Elephas maximus indicus: one gene and its partner. The protein of the gene in region 1 interacts with the protein of each later gene in a biochemical or structural test. Links are inferred from orthologs where the notes say so. Each region holds a gene or a part of one and is shown on either strand. Other genes may lie near its edges.

Region 1 (7,795 bases):
AGGAGCAAGCGGTAGATTTGAACTGTCAACCTTTTGGTTAGCAGCCAAGCTCCTACCACCTAAACTGGTCTGCAAACGTAATACTCTGAAGGAGTCTTCGGAGCCAGTCAGAAAGGAGGGCTGATGTGCAAAAATGCCCAAATCAGATGGACGTGTGGGGCTAAGGTACTGGATTGTCCAACCCTTCCTTTACTTACACTGGTATAAGGACAGAGATTCAAGTCCACCTCCAGAGGCACCTTGGATGAAAGGCCTGGGTATCCACTCATGAAAAATCAGCCACTGAAAACCCTATGGCACACTGTCCTACTCTAACACATGAGGTCACCATGAATCAGAATCACTCAAAGGCAGCTGCTTGAACCTTGCAGGCACCCAGTATTTCCATGCAGATTGCAACAACTCAAAGAGAAACAAACAGGGACAGGGAGCATGTAAAGCTTCACATGAATCTTCATAAAGAAGTGCAAACCATGTGTGCCACCGAGGCACCTAAACTGGCATAAGCAGGATGCATTTCAAGTTCTGACACACATTGCTAATGTCTGCTAAGGGTTTCCACGTACCCCCTGCAGTCATAATCCTCATATTTTCTAGCCATGTAATTGCGCCTTACATCTCAAATTCTCCTCCATGCAGTTGCTACAACCCAGTAAAAGGAAACATTATCTAGAAAAAAAAATTCCAGAGGGTTTAAAAGATAAACAAGCACAATATCCTCCAACTTAAAAATAAATAAATAAAGATTATACGCTATGTTTAAAAGTACCACCCACTCTGAGAGTGTTTGTAGAGTGTGCGCTTCATTTTGTCACTGCAGAAACTAGACTAACATTTGCATATCCATTTCACACTGAGTAGAAATTCTGAAGTGGTCATCTAAGATTATGGAAAAGTCCATCAAAATCCTCTGGCGTTTTCCAAGCTATCTCTTAGAAAGATGGTTTTTATCATGGCTTCCAACCAGTTTGTTCCTGCTGAGAATTTGCATTTCTAACAAGTTCCCTGTTGAGAATTTGCAGTTTCACCCCAGATATACTGAATCAGAATCTACATTTTAACAATACCCCCCAGGTGATTCTTATGTATAACTTCCTGGGAACTTGCTAAACGCGAATTCTCAGCAGGGGTTAAACCAGTGAACATCCGAAGCCCTGGTTTTTATCCCTGGCCTAGTCCACTGCGTGCCTCAAATATGAATCTCCACAGAATAAAAGTTACACGGATTTCACTTGATTGTGTCCTCTCTTCACAAACTCGATATTCTGGGAATGTATTTACAGAAGCAGTGCTCCAATGATGAAAACGAATAAACTTAGCTTCCTCATTTTGTGCCCAATTGCTGCTAATATTCATGCCTAACAGCTCCTCAAATATTAATTCCACACTTTAATTTTTAAATATAACATCAAGCAAGCAAATTTCCTTGACTTTCTTTCTCGATCATGTATGACTAATAATTAATTTATTCAATAAACATTTATTGAGAAGCTATTTTGTACCAGGGGATCTCTGCAGGGGGTTTGGCAGTGAACTAAGCAAACGGAAAGGGGCAGTGATGGCTCCCTCAGTGGTAGAATTCTCATCGTCCTTGTGGGGGAAAAAAAGGAGACCCACGTTCAATTCCTGACCAATGCACAGCCACCACCCATCTGTCAGTGCAGGTTTTCGTGTTGCTATGATGCTGAACAAGTTACGGCAGCACTTCCAGACTAAGACAGACTAGGAAGAAATGCCTGGCAATCTACTTGTGAAAATCAGCCAACGAAAACCCAATGGACCACAACAGTGTGACCTACAACATCCATGGTGCATGGAATCACTTGTGCACGGAGTTGCCACTAGTCCCGCCAACTTGACAGCAGCTAACAACTATAAACAGGTAAAAGGCCCACTGCCCTTAAGCAACTAACAGTCTAGTACTGGGAAAGGCAATTACATGAAAAACAAGTAAAATACTGTACTTTTACACAAATATCTTTATGGAGCCCTGGTGGTGCGGTGGTTAAGAGCTCGGCTGCTAACCACAAGGTCAGCAGTTCGAATTCACCAGCCGCTCCTTGGAAACCCTATGTGGCAGTTCTACCCTGTCCTATACGGTCACTATGAGTCAGAACCGACTATACCACTTTGTTGTTGTGTGGTTTCTGATGTATCTTTATATACCTCGAATCTTCCTTTCATGTTGTCTTACACAGCAGAATTGCTCCTCAAATGCCTAAAAGCAATCTTGGTTCCTTTTTTCTAAAACCTTAAATTATCAGTTTAATCTTGTCTATTTTTTTTTTTTATATACTCACAGTCTTTTTACTTGATTACTTGTTTTTCGATAATGCCTTGCACCTAAATCTCAAATCAATGTAATGCCTCGAACGCCACTGGGGTTCCATGTGACATAATTTAAATGGCAATAAAACAGAACACACAACCTGACACACATCTGTATAACTTGCAGACATTTTTCTTTATGGGCTTTCTTTTCCTGTCACCTCAATAATAGTTTTCAGGCGAGGAACTGCAACTCCTGCCGATAAGGCATAGCCCCTGATAATGCAATGATAATCTCACGATTTATTCCCGTTTACATGGGACCAGCTTGTCCTCTGCCATGTACCCAACAGCAGATGGACTTTGAAAAAATCACAATAAGCGCATAACGTGACAACAAAATTTTCGCTGCCTCCAAGAAAGCCTGGCTTGAAATTCTGAGCCAGAACTGGCTGGGACCGAGACCCAAGGGCCGACCCCCAGGCGGGAGACCAGCGCCCCGAGGGGCCGGGCCCGGCCCGGCCCCCTCCCGGCCACGCGCGGCGCTACGTGTCGCCGGGCACAGCCGAGGGTCGCGGCGGAACATGTCCCCGGTGCCGTGGGAGGCGGCGGCACCCGGCCCCCGGGCTTCGAAATGGCTGCTGCGCCCTGCGCGCTCCGCCGGCGGCCTCGCTGCCCGGCCCGGCCCGGCCCGGCCCCCGCCCGGCGCGGCCACTGCCCCGGCGCCGCCACCCCCGCGCGCGCCGCGCTCACCACAGCTTCCTCTTGAGCGGCAGGAGGCTGCCGCGGTTGGACGGCGTGACGCCGATGGCCATCTGCAGCACCGTCAGGTATTTCTGGTACTTCATCTTGTCCCCGCTCCGCTCGCGGGCAGGGCCCCGCCGCCGCCGCCGCCGCCGCAGACACAGCCCCTCCAAGCGCCGCATAGATCAGCTCTGGGCCATCGGCCGCGGCCGCCGCCACAGCCCCCGCCACTCCCGCCGCCGCGGCGCTGTGCGCCCGGCCCCGCTCCCGTCCCGCCGCCGCCGCCGCCGCCGCCGTGCGTGCCCGCCGCTCCCGCCGCCGCCGCTCCCGCCTCCGTGCGCGCTCGGGCCCCGCTCCCGCCTCCGTGCGTGGTCGGTCTCCCGCTCCCGCCGCCGTGCGCGCCCGGGCCCCGCTCCCGCCGCGCTGTCGTGCGTGGCCTGGCCTCCCGCTCCCGGCCTCGCCGCCGCCTCGCTCCCCCTCCGCCTTCGCGAGTCCTCCGCGCGGCCTGCGGATGCGCCCCGCCGGTGCGCACAGAGGGAGCGGCGCGCGCCGGCCTCACAGCCCGCCAGCCTCGCCTTGCCCCGTCCTGGAGCTGCGGGCAGAGGCCGGGGCGTCCCCGCGCCCCCTCGGGCTTCAGTTTTTTTCAGCTGCTGACAGAAAAACCAAACCCGTTCCTGTCGACTCTAATTCTCTCTCACAGCGACCGTATAGGACGGAGTAGAACTGTCCCATAGGGTTTCTAAGGCTTTAACCTTTACCGGCGCAGACTGCCACATCTTTCTCCTGCCCAGCGGCAGGTGGGTTTGAACAGCCGACCTTTTCATTAGCAGCCAAGCACTTAATCTCTGTGCCACCAGGGCACCGTAGCTGCTGATAGGAACTTGCTTTTAACTGTCCCCAAAAGAATCCCAACAGTACACATCCAGAATGAATAACAAAAAAAAAAGAATGACAGTAATTTTTAATTTATAATTACGATGTAATGATTTGTAACCTCATCTATTCTAAAGTTTTTTTGTATTTATATCTATAGATATAGATAGGGATGTGTGTGTATATATATATCTATGTTGATTTATCTACCAGCTGCCACCGAATCCATTCAAACTCATGGAATCCCACACTACCATGCAAAGTGAGCAATATATATGTCTATGTATATATACATATATATATACACACATATGTAAATATATACCTTGCCTTGTATTTATATTGTGTCTAAAGTGAGGAATATATATGTGTATTATGCATATATATGTATAAAAAACCAAAAACCAAACCCACTGCCATCGATTCAATTCCAACTCATAGTGACCCTTTGGCAGAGAGCAGAACTGCCCCATAGAGTTTTCGAGGGAGGGCTGTTGGATTCAAACTGTTGACCTTTTGGTTAGCAGAGCTCTTAACCACTGCTCCACCAGGGCTCTGTGTGTGTGTGTGTGTGTGTCCATACACACACACACACACACACACACACACACACACATATATATATAAAACACTTGGTTGCTAACTGAAAGGTTGGAGGTTGGAGTCCATCCAGAGCCATCTTGGAAGAAAGGCCTAGCAATTTATTTCTGAAAAATCAGCCATTGAAAACTCTGTGGAGCACAATTCTGTCGTGACACACATGGGGTCGCCGTAACTTGGGGTTGACTTTAGGGCAAGTAGCTGTTCTTTTTTCATATACACACACGTGTATTCATTGCTTTGCACAGTAGTGCAGGAATATACAAATGACTGCAAACCTTGCAAAATGATCTTAATAATAAATAATAAAAAAATATGATTTGGGTCAAAACATTAAAAGCTCCCCAACAAAATATTAGCCAATCAAATCCATTGGCATGGTTAAGGGATTAAACACCAAGACCAAGAAGGATTTATCCCAGGAATGCAAGAGTGGCTCAAGGTAAGGAAACCAGTTAGCGTAATATACCACAGTAATAGAAAGAAGGAAAAATAAAACATGATTATCTCAATAGATGCAGAAAAGCATTTAATACAAGTCAGCAGCCTTTCATGATAAAAATTCTCAGTACACTAGGAATAGAAGGGAATTTGCTCAATATGATAGAGGCCATTTATGAAGAGCCCACAGCTAACATCATACCCGGTGTAGGTAAGACAACAGAAAGCTGTCGCCTTAAGATCATGGACAAGACAAGGATGCCTGTTTTCACTACTGCTGGTGGCGCAAATGGTTAAGCACTTGACTGCTAGCTGAAAGGTTGGCAGTTCAAACCTACCTGGAGGCACCTCAGAAGACAGACTTGGTGATCCGCTTCCCAAGGATCACGACCTTGAAAACCCTATGGAGTGGCTCTACTCTGCAACACGTGGGGTTGCCATGAGCTGGAATTGACTCAACAGCAACTAATAACGACAAAAATTTAATGTTGTGTTGGAAGTCCTAGTCAGAGAAATTAGACAAAAGAGAGAGAGAAATAAAAGGTGAAGTAAAACTGTATTTGCAGATAACATGATTCTATACATGAAAAGTCTTAAAAAATCCACAAAAACTACTAGAGCTCATCACCAGTCAGCAAATTCAGCAAAGTTGCCGGGCACAAAATCAGTGGACTAAAATCCGTTGTGTTTCCATGCACGAGCAATGAAGAATCCATAAAGGGAATCTTAAAAACAACTTCATTTACAATAGCATCCAAGAGAATAAAATGCCTCAGAATAAATTTAACCAAAGAGGTGCAAGAATTGTGCACTAAAAACTACAAAACATCACGGAAAGAAATTAAGGAAGATTTCATTAAATTGAACAACAATTCATGTTAATGGCTTGATAGACTTAACATGAAGTTGTCAGTACTACCCAAAGTGACCTGTTAGATTTAATGCATTCTCTATGAAAATTCTAATGGCCTTTTTTTCTTTTCCTTTTTACAGAAATGAAAAGGCTGATCCTCAATTCATGTCGCATGTAAGGGGTCCTCATTAGCCAAAACAATCTTGAAAAAGAACAAAGTCATAGGACTCACACTTCCCAGTTTCAAAACCCACTGTAAAGCCTCAGTAATTAAATCAGTAAGGTAGCATGCTAGCCTACTAGCGCAAGGATAGAGACACAGACCAATGGACTAGAATTACGAGTACAGAGATAAGCCCGTACGGCTGTGGTGAACTGATTTTTGACAAGGGCACCAAGACAATTCAATGGGGAAAGAATAGTCTCTTCAACAGATGGTGTGGGACAACTGGATGTCCACATGCAAAAGAGTGAAGTTGGACCCCTACCTCAAACCATATATGAAAATTAACTAAAAACCGATCAATGACCTAAATGTAAGAGATAAACTCATAAAACTCTTAGAAGAAAACATAGGATTAAACCTTCATGACCTCAGATTTGACAATGGATTCTTGGATATGACAGCAAAAGCACAAGCAACAAAGGAAAAAAATAGATAAATTGGACTTCATCAAAACTGAAAACTTTTGGATATCAAAGAACATTATCAAGAATGTGAAAAGAAAATTGACAGATAAGAGAAAATATTTGTAATTTATACATCAGATAAGGATTTAGTGTCTAGAAAACAAATGGAACTCTTACAACTCAACAACAAAAAGAAACAATTCTATTTTATAGATGGGTAAAGGACTTGAATAGCCATCTCTTTAAAGAAGATATACAAATGGCCACATGAAAAGATGTTCAAGATCATTAGTCGTTGTTGTGTGCCCACAAGTTGATGCCAACTCATAGCTGCCCTACATAACAGAGTAGAACTGCCCCATAGAGTTTACTAGACTGTAATGTTTATGGGAGTAGATCACCAGGTCTTCAAAACCACAGTGAGCTATCACTTCACACCTACCAACCGGAAACCTTGGTGGCATAGTGGTTAAGAGCTACAGCTGCTAACCAAAAGGTCGGCAGTTCAAATCTACCTGGAGCTTCTTGGAAACTTTAGGGGGCAGTTCTACTCTGTCCTAGATGGCTATATAAAAAAAAAAAAAGGCAGAAAATGGAAAATAACAAGTCTTGGCAAAAATGTGGAGAATTAAAAAAACCCTTGTTTGTTGGTACTACGAATGTAAAATGATGCAGCTGCTGTGGGAAACATCCAAGATACACGAAAACGTATATCTACACAAAAGCTTATACACAAATGTTTGTAGCAGCATTATTCATAAAAGCCCAAAGGTAGGAAACCCATATGTCCATGAACGGATGAATAAAGAGAGGACTGTGCTGTACCCCTACCAAAACCAAAAAAACCAAACCCAGTGCCGTCAATTCCGACTCATAGCGACCCTGTAGGACAGAGTAAAACTGCCCCATAGAGTTTCCAAGGAACGCCTGGCGGATTCGAACTGCTGACCCTTTGGTTATCAGCCGTAGCACTTAACCGCTACGCCACCAGGGTTTCCTGTATCCCTACAATGGAGTATTATTCAGCCATAAAAAGGAGTGAACTACCAATAAATGCTACAACCTGTATGTACCTTGAAAAAACATTAAATGAAAAGGCCAGTCACAAAAGGTCACATATTGTATGATTTCATTTATATGAAATGTCCGTAGAGACAGAAAGCTGATTAGTTTGCCGATGGATGGGAGGAGGGAGGGAATTGGGTGTTTTTCTGAGGCGGTGAAATTGTTCTGAAACTAGAGAGAGATGGTGGTTGTACAACATTGTTAATGAGCTAAATACCACTGAATTGTACACCTTAAAATACTTAATTGTGATATGAATTTCACCTGAATAAAAATAAGATTGTGGGGTACTGGCATAAGGATAGACATATAGATCATTGG
Region 2 (7,685 bases), on another chromosome or scaffold:
CCCTGAGCAATGGGCCAGGAGAGGTCCGTGCAAGATATACCTCTCTGCTATTGTTGAAAAACAGATTTTACTGGACAAGCAGATCTCGACCAGCTATGAGCTGTGTCACAAGTAAATTGTCACTAATGATAGTTAATGTGTCCTATTTTTACACAAATAACAGGCACCTTCTACAGTTGGTCTGCCAACTGCTCCCACCCTTCCCCCGCCCTGCCCCCAGGTATTAAGCACTGCTATGCCAATTTTTTTTTTTTTTCACATGTTGCTGTAAAAAAAATTAGTATAGCATGTTTACAAAAATACCTGGTGGGGGGGAGGAGCTGTTGGTAAACAAATGTAGAAAGTGCGTGTTATTTGCATAAAAATAAGATACTAGGGCTTGTAAATGATTTGAGAATGGATTCAATTTTGTCTCAAGTAAAGTCCCACCTCCACTTAGTTGCAGTCCTCAAATGTTAGTGACTGAAGCACAGTTAAGGGTTGGGGCAATAACCAATTACTCTCCATGCTTGTGAATGATGATTTTGTAGTTCTATTTTCTTTAGAATTTTACCCATGGAAGTATCTTATACATGTGAATATCATCCATTAAGTGGTTGCATGAAGTGAAGGAAAAAAGGTAGGGACTTGCTGCTCTAGGTTATTTGAATTGGCAAGGGGTCCATCATGGGTCAGGGCTGATGGAAGGGGCTGGGGGTTGGGCATGAGCTCTGACCTGCAGCATAGCAGGGTCCTGTGCTCTCCCACGTGACTCCTCAAAACTCTGAAGGACCCAGTCCTGGGTCTGCCGGGAACGGCTGAAGCCACTGAGAGGGCTCTGGCTCTGGGCTGGCTGTTTTGAGCTCCCCACATGGCTGTCATACTTCATGCTAGGGGACAGGTCATTGGGGGACCGACGTTCCCGCTCCTCAAGGGTGTCCCGTTGGAGCCGGCTGTCCAGGCTCTGGCTCCGCTTGCGCTGTTCATGGGGCAATGTCCGTGTACGGCGGCCAGTCCGGCCCCGGGCCTGGCCCCCAAGGCGACCATCAAACTTGTTGATGAGCGAGTCCACTGAGGACAGGGGAGCAGTGTCAATGGTGCTACCTGGGGAGGCCCCCTGGGGGGCTAACTCCAGCAGGCTGGTGCTCCTGTTGCTTGGAGCCATAGGGGTAGGGACTGCCAGTGAGGCCTGTGACTGGGAACGGAGTAGTCTTCCATTCCAGTGGGTCCCAGGCTCCTCATCAGATGCGCTGCCCTGCGAGGAGGCAAGAAACCCCTTGGCCTGAGAGTAGGGGTTCTCGGGGAGTTCCGAGTCAGAGCTCAGAGCTCCTGGGGCCCCTCGGTTGTTGGACCCCTTGATTTGGACCCCAAAGGAGTCACCACCCTTCTCCCCACTGTTGAGCACCACGAAGGGCTGCCCAGCAATGCCCTGCACGCGCACGGCAACTCCATAGGTGTTGGCTCTTGCATCCTTGGCTGGGCGTCGCACACCACGGCGTAGGGTACCCGTCTCGTCACCACCCATTGACTCTGTGATGAAGCGAATTTGGACTCCATGGTCCAGGGGGCCCCGGGGCTCAGCCATGGTAGCTGCCTGCTCCATGGGCAGGAGAGGTCCTGGAAGAGGGAGAAAGGAGATTAAACATTTTATGCCGAGAGACATGAAGTAGAAATCCAGAAACCTCCAGCTGCCCCGCTTTAATGGGGCTAGTTGCCTTGTCAGTTTTTTCTTTGTAGAACAGTGATTCTCATACTTTAACTGAGCAACAAGATCACTAGGAGGGATTATTAAAAAACGCAGATAGCTGGGCCCTACCGCCAGAGTTCCTGATTCAGTAAGTCTGGGGTGGGGGCTTGAGAATTTGCATTTCTAACAAGTTCCCAGGTGATCCTGATACGGCTGGTCCAGAAGAATCCATTTCTTCTGATATAGCTCCGGACAACTTGGTTTTGTTAAGAGTTTAAAAACTTTGATTGATATCCACACATACACCACCATGTCCCTCCTCCTCCTCCCTCAAGAAAGGACAGAACCCAACCCCTGCATGACAGATGTCAAAGTGTGCCATCCCATTTCTGGAAACTATTCAAAGAAAGTGATGCCTCCGAGGAAAGGAACCCAAGGGGTTAGGGGCAAGAAGGGGAGAGTGACTGACTTTCTACTGTGTATCTTTTTGTCCGTTTTGAGTTTGAAACCATACAGATGTATTACCTATTCGAGAAAAAATGTAAATATCATTTTAAGTGTCCCAGTCCAAGGGGCCACACAGCCAAGGCCATCTACAGACTAGCTCCCCAGATCCACATTGCCAAGCTCAGAGTCATCAAATGAAATGTATTCCAGGCATGCTCTGTTCCAGGAAACTCCAAGCAAAGAAAAAATGCAACTTCTCCACCCCTTCTGCTAGTCTCTACCAGAACCTAGCACCAAACTGGAGGAGGTGCCTGTAGCGTACCAGACAGAAACACAAACATGCAACTTGACCTCCCTGCGGAGCTCTGAGCCAAGGCAACTCGGCCAGGTCTGGCAGCCCAGACAACCCGTGTGAGATGAGGAGGGGAAGGGATGTAGAGGGGCAGAGTTCCACGTTAGGAAGGGCTGGTGTGGGGGGAAACAGCCTCCTATCTGAGGAAGCGCATTCACAGCCTTCCCAGCCTTTCCCCTCCACAGAAAAGAATAGGGAAGGAGGAGCCCCTTCTTGGTAGTGGTTCGTTGCCTTTTTTGACACTGGGTCCGCATTTGAGAAAATGATGACAGCAGTGCAACCTCCTCTAGGAGACAGCCCACACAAACTAGTATCGCACAATTTTAAGAGGTCCGTGGATACCTTAAGGCCCAACCGTCAACTTTTGAGGACCCTGGTCTCCCATTTTTTAGGCATTGGGGAGAACCTTAACCAATCTCTAACTCAGATACCCCAAACAGCAAGATATCTTACTGGCAGGATCCAAAATGGGACCAGAAACGAAGCTAGGAGGTAAAGAGGTAAGTTCTCCAAACCACTTATCCAGAGGCAGCCTGGCACAGTAGAAAAGCCACTGGACTAGTCTAACTCTGTTCTCCCTGGAGATGTATAACCTCGGGCAAATCACAACTTTTCTATGCCTCAGTTTCCATCTCTGTAAAAACTGGTATAATGATAATATCTCACAATGTAATTACCTGTGAGAATTAAATCAGACAACAACAAATTACACAGGCATATACCACTGTCAAATTTTATCAAGTTTTACACTTAAGATTTTGTTCTTTATTGTATTTAAGTCATACTTCAATATAAAGGTGGAAAAGTCAAGATATTAAACACGAAAGTACCTAGCAGAGTAGGCCTGTTACAAAGCTGACAATAAATGTTACCTTCACACATGCTGTTCCCTCCAACAGGGACTTCCCGGCTTCACCTGGTTCCTAGAAGAATGTCACTTCCTCAGAGAAGCCTTCCCTGACCATCCCTCCCCACAAACTAGGTCAGATCCATGTTATATCCTCTGCAGTTGTTCTTCAGTAGGTTTATCTCGGTTCGTTTTTATATATTTATTGAAGTCATTATTTGTTTCCTGTCCGTCTCCCCCACAGGATTACAGTCTCCTGGAGGGCAAAGGCCATGGCTATCAGCCGATTACTGTGTCCCCAATGCCTGGCACATGGTAGATATTGATAAATATTTGTGAAAGGTTGTATCCTGAACCAATGCAGACTTGCATAGCAGAAGGAGGAATTGCCCAGGGGTCCCTCACAGTTATGTCTTGTTTTCCCTCATAACAGGACCTCCTCCTGGCCTGAACTCTCTGCCCTACTCATTCACGACTTTAGATCCAGATGTGCCTAGACTGCCAGCTCTCAGAAACCACATGATTTATTCATGATGCAGCTCTCCTCTGTCAGCACATCTACTGATCTTCCAGATCCAGGTCAAGGAGCTCCTGGCCTAGGCCTGAGAGAGTACACAGCCCCTTGCCTGAGAGCACCAGCTCATTGAGAGGCAGATCCAGCACTCCCCCAGGTCCCAATGACTCCCTACCCTCAACCACCTTCAGTCCTGGGACACGTGGGTCAGGGGCCAGGATGGCTGGAGGGAATCTGTGAGGTGGGTCAGAAAGCAGGGCTCTAAATGATTCAGCATGGAAAACCCGAAACCTACCCACCACCTTCGGTTACAGAGGACAGCGGGGCGGGGCCAAGGGAGCAGCGCAGCTGTGGGCCTTGCCAAAGCCCCAGAGGCAGGTAAACAGTGATCTAGCACCAGGCAACATGAAGCCCAGAGCCTGAGCTCTCACCAGATGCCTGACCCTCCTGCCTCCCCTGGCGCATGCTCAGGGTCTCTCTCCACCAACTGTACTCCGGGAAGAGACCAGGCCACACTTAATTCTGTTTTCATCTGTCTGCCTCTGCCACTCCAGCTGGTAAGGAGGGAGGGGACACCCTTCACCTGTTTCAGAGCCACTTCTCCTAGTTACTCATTATCCTGCCCTGCCCCAATTCCATCACCTCTGGCCCAGTCTTATCGCCTGGCATCCAACTAGCAGTGACAGGGTCCCTGGACTCCTGGCAGGAAGTGGGAGTGGGGTGGTTTCAGGAAGGGCTGATATGCCCAAGACCAGGCAGTATGCTAGGTGCCACATATTGGCAGATTCAGAAAATGGGGGAACTAGAGGTATAGAGATTAGACTACCTCTTTCAGGTAACAAGGAAATCAAATGGTCAAAATAGAGGACAGCTCAGTGACTTTGATTGTTCTGCTCCCATTAAAGAGTTACAGAGGTAAGGAGGCTCCCAGTGGATCCAAAAAGAACCCCCAAGTGGAGTTCTGACTGTCCACTGAAAAAGCCAGAAACCTGAGAGCCAGGCTAGAGCTGCTCGGCCAGTGGGAAGAAAAACAATGAGGAACTGGATCCCTGTAAACTGGCTGGACTGGTTTGAGAGGCAAGGGGAAAGGCAGGGCCAGGGAGACTACACTGGCAGCTTGTAAAACAGACCAGAGAAATTCCACACCACATAGGAGGCAGAGGGGCAAGCCTGTGGGTAGGGGTTCTGTCCAGTCTGGCTGCCAAGGCCAAAGCTCTAAAGAGAGAGACAGAAGGTAGGGAGGGAACAGGCAGTGGGAGCAGACACACAAAGAACCCGGTGAGTGACAGGCCAGTGTGTGACAGAAGACTTTGTCTCCCTCTACTCCTCCCTCTCAAGCTCCCAAAGTTGCACTCCTGATTCCACACTTGCCTTGGCCACCCCCCAGCCCTGAGCTCTTCCCTCCCTCGCATGAAGAAAAGCAGCCCACCCCCTCCCATGATAAGTGTCTCTCCCCACATCCCACAGGGGCAATAGCATGCAGGTCAGCCTGTGGAAGGCAGAAAGGGGTTCTAGGACACCAGAATTCTTTAGAGCGAACCAAATCACTAGATAAGCAGCCCCCCAGAGCCAGCTCCCCAAATCCCAAATATCCAGGACAAAAGAAGAGGTGCACAGACACGTGTGGGCAGCCTGTCTACAATATAATAGCGGTTGCTAATTATTTCCCAATTACAACAACTTTCCTCAGGCAGGGCATCAAAGGGGCCAAGCTAAGGCTGGCTCTGGATGCCTTCCCTGCCTAAGGCGAGGAAATCTGCCTCAGAAGTCTTGCCTGGGACCCAACATGCACCTGTCATCTGGCCTGGAGACTTGAAGGTGCTAATTCTCCTAGTTGTGTCTCTCCTGAGGAGTCCTGACTGTTTCCTACAGCACAATGCCTGCCAGTCATCATGGTCGGGAGTCAGGATGCCTGGTGGGGCCTCAGAGAATAAGGGTGATTCTGGGAGGCATCAAGATAAATCGGTTGAGCTCCCAAACCTCACCCAATGGTCTCCATCTAGAAACACAGAAGAAGGTATGTGTGCTGGGGGGAACTGATATCTGCCCAGAGAAAGAGGCCTCGTTAGAAATAAGAATTTCTGCATATTTTATAGGCTCAGGGACCTATGCTTCCTCATATCCTCTCTAAAACCAAAACCATACCTATTGTCATCAAGTCAATTCTGACTCAGAGCAACAGCAGAACTGTCCCGTAGAGTTTCCAAGGCTGTAAATCTTTACAGAAGCAGACTGCCAGGAGGAGCGGCTGGTGGGTTCAAACCACCCACCTTTCGGTTAGCATCCCAGCGCTTAAACACAGCGCCACCAGAGCTCCTTATGTCCCTCTCTAGGAGAGCACTATCTCAAGAAGGAAATTCCTCCCTGGCGTGAAAGCAAAGGCAGACAGAAACCGTATCCCCTGAAATAGTTTCACACCTAGTAAAGAGATGGGGTGGTTTCTTGTTCTCCCCTCAGTGCCTCTTATCTGCAACTGTCTTCACCTGTAGGTGAACGCTTAGAGAAAGGCGCCACACCTCAGAGCCATCTCAAAGCCAGAAAGGAGGCGTCAACAACCAGCTCAGACCGGCACTGGGGTTTCAGGAAAACAGCACCTGCTGATGCCTTCCCCTTACTACCCTGAACCTTAGGCAGCTGTTCCCTCTGCCCAGCTGGGACTAACTCTCCCCGCACCACCCCGATCTCCAAGAGAAACTCTGCCCCTGGGGCTGGCGTCAAACCTCCAGACAAATCCTGGCTCTGAAATGCTTTCACGCACTGAGAAAAATCTTACCCTCAGGTGCCCCTCACCTGGTACCTTGCCAGCAACCTGCCCCAGGCCGCTTAGAGCAGGGGCCAGCTCTTAATCAAAGCTCCTACTCTCCCCTGACCTCCCCTCCTCCCCGCTCCAACTCAGCACCTGTGCCCTGGAAGGGGACATCCCTGGTCGCCGCAACCCCCCGCCCCTCAGGGGTACACCTGAGGGCTCGCTTGCCTCTCAGATGCCCTTGCCTCCGCCCGGTTGACTCACCCCAGCCGGGCTCGGCGCTCTCGGGCTCGCACTCCGGGCTCGGGCTAGAGCAGACCTGCACACGCGACTCCCGGGCCCTCCCACTCGGTCCCCCCGCGCTCCCTCCTTCTCTCTACCCCTCCCACCAACCTGTTACTCCCTACGGAGCTTCACTCCCATTGGCCGTCACCACCCGCCCCGCCCTACCCTTCCTCCGGTTGGTCGGCTTTCCGCGAGAGGCGGGGCTGCCGCCGCAGGGACCCCGGCCGGGGTCGCGAGCAGGGATGGGCGGGGGGGGGGCGGGTCACGTGGGTCGGCGGGCGCTCGGGGGGCGGGCGCTCGGGGGGCGGGGCGGCGAGGGGCACTGGGAAGCCATTTTGGGGGCGTAGCAGTTGGCCGCCGTGACCGCCCTCACCCCTTGCCCCGGAGCTACGCAGCTGCAGCATCTTCTCGCCTCTGCTGGAAGATAACCCCCGCCTCTAGTTTTCCCAACGGGAATCTCGGTCCAGAGCCTCTTTTGTCCTTCACTTAAAAACCCCAACCCAGTGCCGTCCAGCCGATTCCGACTTACAGTCCTTCACCTACCTGCGCATAAACCAAAATACACTCTCATCACTTTCTGCAGAAAAACCTCCCTTGTCCCTCGACATCAGAGCCCAATCCACCTGAGCTCGTCTTCCTTTTCCCCAACTAAACTAGAACCCCAGTCTTGGGTTCTCTTCCCCTACACCCTGGCCTCCACGATCATTTTACAGCCTGGCAACTTTTTCTCCAGTATATTACCTTCTAACTTATTATATGATTTAATTTTTTAAAATCACATTGTCTCCAATCCGACGATAAACTCCACCAGGACTGGGATCTGTTTTG

The links.
Region 2: the proteins of TJP1 (region 1) and CGN form a complex in vitro, tested with the Homo sapiens proteins (2 studies listed by BioGRID and IntAct, with this or other methods). The link is inferred for Elephas maximus indicus from reciprocal best matches to the Homo sapiens genes TJP1 and CGN.

Annotation. Positions count from the first base shown.
Region 1 is NC_064831.1:94,002,241-94,010,035, reverse strand, and holds the start of TJP1 (tight junction protein ZO-1), read right to left. Parts: upstream 3,210-7,795; 5' UTR 3,195-3,209; coding exon 3,022-3,194; intron 1-3,021. UniProt on the Homo sapiens protein: TJP1, TJP2, and TJP3 are closely related scaffolding proteins that link tight junction (TJ) transmembrane proteins such as claudins, junctional adhesion molecules, and occludin to the actin cytoskeleton.
Region 2 is NC_064821.1:185,570,210-185,577,894, reverse strand, and holds the start of CGN (cingulin), read right to left. Parts: upstream 3,397-7,685; 5' UTR 3,348-3,396; coding exon 3,338-3,347; intron 1,597-3,337; coding exon 716-1,596; intron 1-715. UniProt on the Homo sapiens protein: Probably plays a role in the formation and regulation of the tight junction (TJ) paracellular permeability barrier.